Linked DNA regions of Macaca mulatta. The protein of the gene in region 2 interacts with the protein of the main gene of each other region in a biochemical or structural test. Links are inferred from orthologs where the notes say so. Each region holds a gene or a part of one and is shown on either strand. Other genes may lie near its edges.

Region 1 (4,027 bases), on a different chromosome or scaffold from region 2:
CCAGTCGCAGTGATAATAGGTATAGCCACCATAATTAGTCCACTACTGCTCCAAACATACTTCATCAGGAATTGTTCTATCATGATGTACCACAAACGTTTGGATAAAATGAGGTTCATCTGATCCACTAAAGCTTTGTAACTTTTCTGAAGTTGTTTCATTTCTACCTATAGAGAGGAAAAAGAGTTGAGGACTTTCCTTAAAGACATATACATATTCTTTTTTTTTTTTTTTTTAGTATGGCATTATCTATGTGTCTTAACAACCAATAAATACAGATTAATACCAGTATTAGTTATTATTTAGTTTTGGTCACATGTGTATTATTTTTAAAAGTTTATGCTACTCAGTGGACATAATGTTGGGTATAAAATACATATAAGTAATTTATAGTTATGATATTTAAATTTTATGCATGAGATGTTAAAACTAAATGATATTAGGTAAGATATGAATAAACAATTGTTAGAGCTTTGTCCTTGTTGATTACACCAAAAATACCTGAAAATGGACACATGACATATATATGTATAGACTCTACTTTTGAACTGACTCACTTTGTTGGATTTTGTCTTTTATGCAAGAAGTCTAAACACACTATAATTTATATCATTGAATTCAATAGTTTAAGAAGAATCACAAATCAATATGATATAATACAATATATGAGGTAATTTTCAAGTGGGAGCAAGAGTCCTAAATTTACTTTAAATATTCTTTTTCAGGTTGCTACTGCTATTAAAAAAGACACTGATAATTACTGATGCTTTAAAAATTAAATAATTCTGCTTGGTGATTGACATGCCGTCTTCAACAGTAGAATACTTTATTTTATTCACCAAGTCATTTAAATTAAGATTGCATTGCCTTTAAAATTTCTGTCTTATTTCATATTCTGAAGTTACCTTCATATACTATGAGTATGTATAATTGGGCTAATTGTTTTAGGGATCTGCTTAATGTTGAAAATCTTCAATAATTGAAAACATTCTGAAACTCCTTTTGTACTCCTCATTTCTTCTCTAATCTCAGCTTTTTTTTTTTTCAAAGCTGGACAAAATTTCATTTCACTTCCTCTTTTCATTTTGTCAAAATATAGTGCTGAACATGAACTAAGAGTAGTAGAAATGCCATTTTGTGAGACACTTTCCTATGCTTCTTGGGAATGGGGATGCTCCATATTGATCAGACATGCAAAATTGTTAAAAATGTCTTCTGTAAGAAATCCTGGTTCCCCCCCTCCTTCGACAACAAAGGAACAACAAAGAATATCATTCTAAATTTTCCATTTCAATGGAAACATGTTTAGTCTTAGTTTCCAAATATATATTTTCTTCTGGTAGGTGCTCTAGGGCCACCTACCAAGTTGGGATTTAAGTTTTAAGAAAACACGTTAGAAATAATTCTGACCATATTTGAGTAACTGAGGCTAAGTAGGCTTTTTCAGAGTGTTGCAAATTTTATTCTCATGACACTTTAGAAAAGTTTGCACCCTATAATTCTTTAACTGGTTACGGTTAAAAGGGGTAATGAAGCATGTATTTTAATACAGGTTTAGATGTCAGAGGAATCTAAGACACTAAAGAAGTGGGTCCATCGACAGGACAACAGATGGTATCTGGCACTGCAGTGGCAGCTTGAACAGTCTCACATTTCACCCATCACCTTAATTTCTATCTTACCTTATGTCCTCTGTAAAAGGCAATTTCTTCTACATTGGCTATAATTCTGGAATGCACATACCGCAAATAGCCTTTTCTATGAGCTTCCTCTGCCACCAGTTTGCCAAATTTGGGAGAACAGGCTTTCAACACTTTAGCAGTGGCATATACCACAAGTCCTGCTAATAGGGTGGGCCCAGTTGGGCTTGCTCCTCTGGATGTAGCAGTTTGAATGAGTGTATAGGAGGTCAGGATTACATCTAAAATAGGTTTGGTCAGATTAGAATACAAGTGAGCCACAGATTGGGAGAACATCATAATATCCTCTGTAAGAGATTGGTCAGGGTTTGCCAGCCTCCCATCCATATTGATCACTTTATAATAAGTCTGATTTGTAAAATAGGTTTCATAGGCATGGTCTACTAGGCGAGTTCTGAAGGCCAAAGCCAATTTGCATTCCAGGTACCTTATTGCACTGTTGACGAAGGTAGCAGGGATGGCAATCATAAGCCACTTGATTAATTTGATGATGAAAGTCCGAGGCTTCTTTTCCACAATGCTTTTCACGATTTTTCCATCCAGACCAGCCACATAGATAGACAGAAAGGTTCTTGAGATTAGAGCCACTGAGTGCAGGCAGAGCCACCCTGTTTCAGTGGTCACAAGTTTTGGAAACAAAATTTTCCGAAGTTCTAGTAGCTGTTTGAAGAAATCTGCATTCACTCCAGGCGAAGGTATTTTACAAACGGTCTCGGTGCAATGCAGTATTTCTGTGTTCTCTGCAGCAGGGTAAGCTGCTTCTTTTTTCTTCCCGTGGCCAGATTGCTTTAAACGCTTGCCAATGATGGGATAGAGGGTTTTCAGAGCATATGCCGCAGCCACCAGGCAGGCAGCCCTCTTAGCAGCACTCGATCTGGTCCATTTCACTCGATCAGCTGCTGCATTTAGCATATGTGTCATTTTCCCAGTTACCCAAACCGGCTTCCAAAAGAATTCGTTTTAAAAGATCATGCTTCACAGAAATCCCCAGCAAATGTTTCAGAAAGTCCTACAGCGTCCCATAGTCTGCAGCGTTTCTCTTCCACTGTTTTGTTTTTAATTTTGTTCTGCTGTGACAGATGCAGCAGAGCTCAGACTCCGCTGCATCTACCGGGAATAATTCTCTCAGAAGCTCCAGCTGCACCAAGCTCCTCCCTCCCAGGCCCCTCATTGGCTGTGAGGGCGGTGGGACCTTGGAATCTTAGCAGCTTCCCTTTGAACCTTGAAAATGAGGAGAGAGCAAAACGAATTACATCCTTCCTTAAACAGGAGTTCAGAGAGTTAAATGTCTATTTTTGGAGAGGTCGAATCAGGCCATCTGCTGGCGAACAAAAACCGCTCTAGCTACTGAGCATGCTCAGTGTCACTTAGAAACCCGCAGAAGTTTCAGAATATACATCACTTCGGTAAGATTTCAGTAGCTACGGCAAACAGAAGAGCAAGCAGAAAGGGAGATTTCCAAGCGAACAAAACCGTCTCTAGCTACTGAGCATGTTCAGTGTCACTTAGAAACCCGCAGAAGTTTCAGAATATACATCGCTTCGGTAAGATTTCAGTAGCTACCGCAAACAAGAGCAAGCAGAAAGGGAGATTTCCAAGAGTTTTAACGAGACGAGGAGGGAGAAGGAACCACGGAAATGAGGGAGGAGGGACAAGAGGATCAACATAAAATGAATATGGAAAAAGCATGGAAAGAATCTGAAAGGGATCAGAAAAGAAAGTGATAAGTGGGAGGGACACTGGAGAATGCCAAATATCAAATACAAACACTTGGATCTGTTTTTCCGTCCCCCCACCCCCGGCTTTTTTGGGGGTCTGATTTCACATAAGGTCTCAGAACCTAATAGACAAGTTGTAATTGAGGGTATCCCTTGTAAATAAATAGGATAAAAGTCTTCCGTGTTATGGAAAATAATTATTTGCTATGCCTCTAGACATTCTCCCTTTTTCCCCTCCATCCTACTTGTCCTTATGATAAAAATCTTCCAGCCCCATAACTGGAGATCTGATGTACTTATAATTATTTACAAGGAGGCGACTATTAAGTAAATGAGATCAATGTTTCATTTTTACTACTCCCATGTGTTAGGTAGTTTTTACTTCGAGGGTGGTAGCACTTATAGTCAAAGTTTAACCATTTGGGAATTCAGCTGGTGTTGGATGATGGAAATAACTTCTCTAGGACCTTACTTCATTTTTCAGGAATTCCTTGTCTTTTGCAAGTGTCTTTTTTGTTTGTTTTGTTTAGCTGTAGAGATAATCTACTGGCTACTTCCTATTTCTATTTGGTTATTTGATAAAAACTAAGAGTCTTAAATTTCTTCACA
Region 2 (4,256 bases):
TATCCTGATAGTCTTTTCATACATCTATTTAATACACGGACTCTATGTCAGTTTATTCTCCATGATGATACCCACAATAACACTGTGACCTTTCAAATGGTCAGTTTTGAATAATCTTTTCTATTACTTTCTAACCTATCTCGCCCCTTTTCATTAAGAGGGATTTTCGGCCGGGCGCGGTGGCTCAAGCCTGTAATCCCAGCACTTTGGGAGGCCGAGGCGGGTGGATCACGAGGTCAAGAGATCGAGACTATCCTGGCTAACATGGTGAAACCCCGTCTCTACTAAAAATACAAAAAACTAGCCGGGCGTGGTGGCGGGCGCCTGTAGTCTCAGCTACTTGGGAGGCTGAGGCGGGAGAATGGCGTGAACCCGGGAGGCGGAGCTTGCAGTGAGCCGAGATCACGCCACTGCACTCCAGCCTGGGAGACACAGCGAGACTCCGTCTCAAAAAAAAAAGAGGGATTTCCACCCCTTCTCTCATTGCCTTTACCCATTCCATGGCTGTGACATCATGATTACTATCAACTTCACTAAGAATTCTGGTGTTTTCAGGCAACAAAGACTTAAGAATCTGTTCAGATATTTCCATGTATCTAAGGTCTCCTCACCCACTCTCCCCGCAGCCTCCGAGAGCTTTTGGAACTGCTCCACCAGGTGGGGCTCTTCCTCAGCCAACTCCTTCATTGCCTTCTCGAACTCTGCAGTGGCTTGAGAAGCCAGTTCACTGTCGAATAGTTCCTGGAAAAACTTCTCTTGGGAAGCGAAGAGGGCATCCTGCGGGGGAAGGGTGGCTGAAATGCATCTCTTACTTAGAACTACACTGCACCTGGCCTCTGATAGAAGCCACAGGCAGTAGCTATGGGAAATGCACTTCCCTCCTACCCACTTCCACTGGACACTCTAACTACTGCTCCTAATGAGAATAGCAAAAAAGGTATCTAGTCTTTGAAAGAGGGTATGGGATGGCATACCAATCCAACCATTTAAACCTACTATTTTTTCAAGGAACTCTGAGATTCCTCCACTCAACCTCAAGTCCTTATTTCACAAGGACTGAGGCTGGCAAGAGCACTCACCAATGTGAGGCCAAGGTACCCTCCCCCATTCCCCTCTGGCCCATAGGGGCCTGCCCAACCTCTGCTCAGAGCTGCATGCCCATCCCCTCCCTATCCCTTCAGGGGGTGGAATTTATACTTTGGCAGTGTCTCCTGGCGATCTCTTCTGGGGCCCCGAAGCATCAGGGGCCGTGGTGGTAGAAGGGGGTGCTGGGGAGGGTTTGGCTTTATCGAAATCATCAAGAGCACCTTCAGAGACAAGAGACATGGTGTGTGTGTTGGCGACAGATGAGGATGCAAGCAAGGCTGGGTGGTTTCTGGGCAAAGCATTAGGAATATGATTTTTCAAATTGCCAACTTTCCTCAATTTTCCGCCTTGAGGCCCCCACCTCCCCAGACCACCCTCAATGAGCCTCCTACTTCCTTCCAGATTACCTAATTTATTGTGAGCAAAGGCAAGAAATCCCTGACGGTGGAACAAGTATCCATCTCAGAGCTGGGAGGAGAGGATTAAAAATTTCTGCAGAGACATCTCCATCTATAGTGTCTCCCTTGCCACAACCTAATGATTCCCTAGAAATCCCATACAAATAAATACCCAACAGGAGTAGAGAACACAGATGTCCTCATCCCTCTGAACTCACTCTGGAGCTCTAAAAGGAATAACTTGGTGAGAAGGCACATGACATCCCACCCAGCTTCCTGTTGGTACTGGTACCAGCACAGACTGAGGGACCACATACTACATTCCATGGTAAGGCATTAAACTATCTTCTCTTATTCTCCAGTTTAGTGCTCTCCCACAACCTCCTAGAGCTCCTTTTGGTCTGATCTTTGCAGATAACCGTAGGCTAATTTACAGTCACTTGGCACTCCTCAGCGTTTCTGTTCATTCTTCTGCCTGCCCACATCTCTGTGATTGAGCAAGAGATTACAAATTCACCTCTGCCCTGAAAAGCCTGTGTCCTCACCACCATTCTGCTTGCCAGGCCCAGGGAGAGAGCACTGGCCCCACTCTGGGCAGGAAGCCAACAGGGGAGTGGACAGTAATGCTAAGAAAACATCCACCGTCTTTCAGGAGGGTGAACTGCTTTCCCCTGAAATCGCCACATCCTCAGTTTCTCAAAATAAGGGAAAGGAGTCCGCTTGAGCTACTAACAAGATGAAAGAACTGTTAAGGGGCCTAACGAGAGAAAGAGAAAAGGACTACGAGGAAAAAAGTGTCTTTCATGTCAAGGAAGGCAGGACGAGGCGCAGCAGCATGGGCCACGAGCTTGCTAGGAGTTAATGTAAGCAATCAGTGAGTGCGTGGTTCGCTACCCAACAAGAACCAAATGCTGCTGCTGCTGCTGCTGAAGTCGGACTTTAAGAACTTAGTAACCTAAAGAAAGAGGAGTTTGGAGAGGTATCATGAAACGCCGTCCTGCGGAAACATCCACAATCTGGACCACTGGGGGACCCCAGGTGAGTTCCCCAGCTCCAGTCGCGGAGGTGGGGCAGGATGACCCAGAGATTTTTGGGGGGCTCGCGGTCAGACTCTCCGCCCCCATTTAACCTTTGGAGATCCTCTCCCGCCCTGTCCCTAATATCTCAGGTTCACTTAACGCCCGGAATGGGTCCTCACAACTGCCCTCTTCGGGCCTTTCCCACTATGGGCTCTTACTTTCCAGAAGCTCCTCCAATTCCCTGTCTGCTTCTGCCCCGACACCACAGTCTTCCTCAGCGGCCGCCATCTTGCTACCTCCGACTTGCCGTAGGAGGCGGGACCCCTCGGCGCCGCCACGCCCTCCACCCCTTCGTTCCTGCCCTCTTCTGCCTCGGGCAACCAATGGTATTGTTGGCCAGTGCGGAACCGCCATTTTTAAAGGGCCAGGAAGCTTTGAGTTTCTGTTTTGGGTATTTTTCCCCTTTCGCCTGTGAAACACAGAATTAAGGATAAGATAGTGTTATTTTCTGCCTGGTTTTAGAGGCCCGGACTCCTTTCAACTTCCCAAATTACCTGGCGAAGCTCTTTCATTATTTCTTCCTGAGCTATGAGTAGGCTAGATTGAGACAAACTGCCTACAAATAACCAGAATCTATACATATATGATTGATATGACAATTATGGTACATAACATACTACTTTCTCTCACTTCTTTTGTTGAGACGGAGTCTCGCTCTGTCGCCTAGGCTGGAATGCAGTGGCGCTATCTTGGCTCACTGCAGCCTTGGCCTCCTGGGTTCAAGCGATTCTCCTGCCTCAGCCTCCCGTGTAGCTGGGATTACAGGCATGCACCACCACATCCGGCTAATTTTTGTATTTTTAGTAGAGACGGGGTTTTACCTTGTTGGCCAGTCTGGGTAGCCAGGCTGGTCTCGAACTACTGACCTCAGGTGATCCACCCACCTCAGCCTCCCAAAGTGCTGGGATTACAGGCGTGAGCCACTGCGCCCGGCTTCACTTCATTATTTCATTCAAATGTTATCTTCTCTGAAACACTTTACTTGGCCATTCCTTTTCTTCTTAACACTGAACACTATCTGACATATTATCTACCGTGCTTGTTTATTCTCCGCTTCCCACCGTGCAGAATTTAAACACTATGAAGGCGAAGATTTTCGTCTGTTGTCTTCGCTGCTGTAAAGCCCAACTCCTAGGCTAGGGTTTAAAACTTAGTAGGCACTCATTGGCCACTCTTTGCTCTTGCAGTCCCTAATCAGGCACATCTGTCTGCCCAATCTAGTGGCATCTCTCATTTCCTATTCTCTATTAGAACTGTTTGATTAAAGGACACAGGGCCAGGAACTTAGAACTCAATGTTAGAAAGAGAGCATCTGGGACCTTGGACTGAGCAGGGCAATTAGAATGTAGTAGTTAGTAATAGACTTGCTTTCCCTGACCAATCTCCTTTTCTCCACACAGAACCCAACCTCCAACTGAGTGAACACCGGGGATGCTCAGATAGAGGTAACTCTAGACGTCCCTTTCCTCCTTTGGAATTGTTCTATTCAGATCTGTAAGAATGTAGCAACTGTTTCACATACAGATCTGTTTTAGCACTTGGAGAGCACCTATTATTTAGGTCTTGTTCTGGGCACAGCAAGGACAAAGAGATAAATCAGGACCACCCCCTGCTGTAAGGTAGCTAAGTGGAGGTGAGCCGCAGGTATGATGAGATATACACACAGTAAGTATGACACAAGGTAAGAATTTTA

Evidence for each region. The genes of interacting proteins can lie anywhere in the genome.
Region 1: the proteins of PEX19 (region 2) and ABCD2 form a complex in vitro, tested with the Homo sapiens proteins (3 studies listed by BioGRID and IntAct, with this or other methods). The link is inferred for Macaca mulatta from reciprocal best matches to the Homo sapiens genes PEX19 and ABCD2.

What each region holds. Positions count from the first base shown.
Region 1 is NC_133416.1:46,484,163-46,488,189, forward strand, and holds the start of ABCD2 (ATP-binding cassette sub-family D member 2), read right to left. Parts: upstream 2,810-4,027; 5' UTR 2,622-2,809; coding exon 1,683-2,621; intron 168-1,682; coding exon 1-167.
Region 2 is NC_133406.1:106,602,226-106,606,481, reverse strand, and holds the start of PEX19 (peroxisomal biogenesis factor 19), read right to left. Parts: upstream 2,809-4,256; 5' UTR 2,792-2,808; coding exon 2,722-2,791; intron 2,523-2,721; exon of another isoform or gene 2,032-2,522; intron 1,308-2,031; coding exon 1,198-1,307; intron 778-1,197; coding exon 612-777; intron 1-611. UniProt on the Homo sapiens protein: Necessary for early peroxisomal biogenesis. Acts both as a cytosolic chaperone and as an import receptor for peroxisomal membrane proteins (PMPs).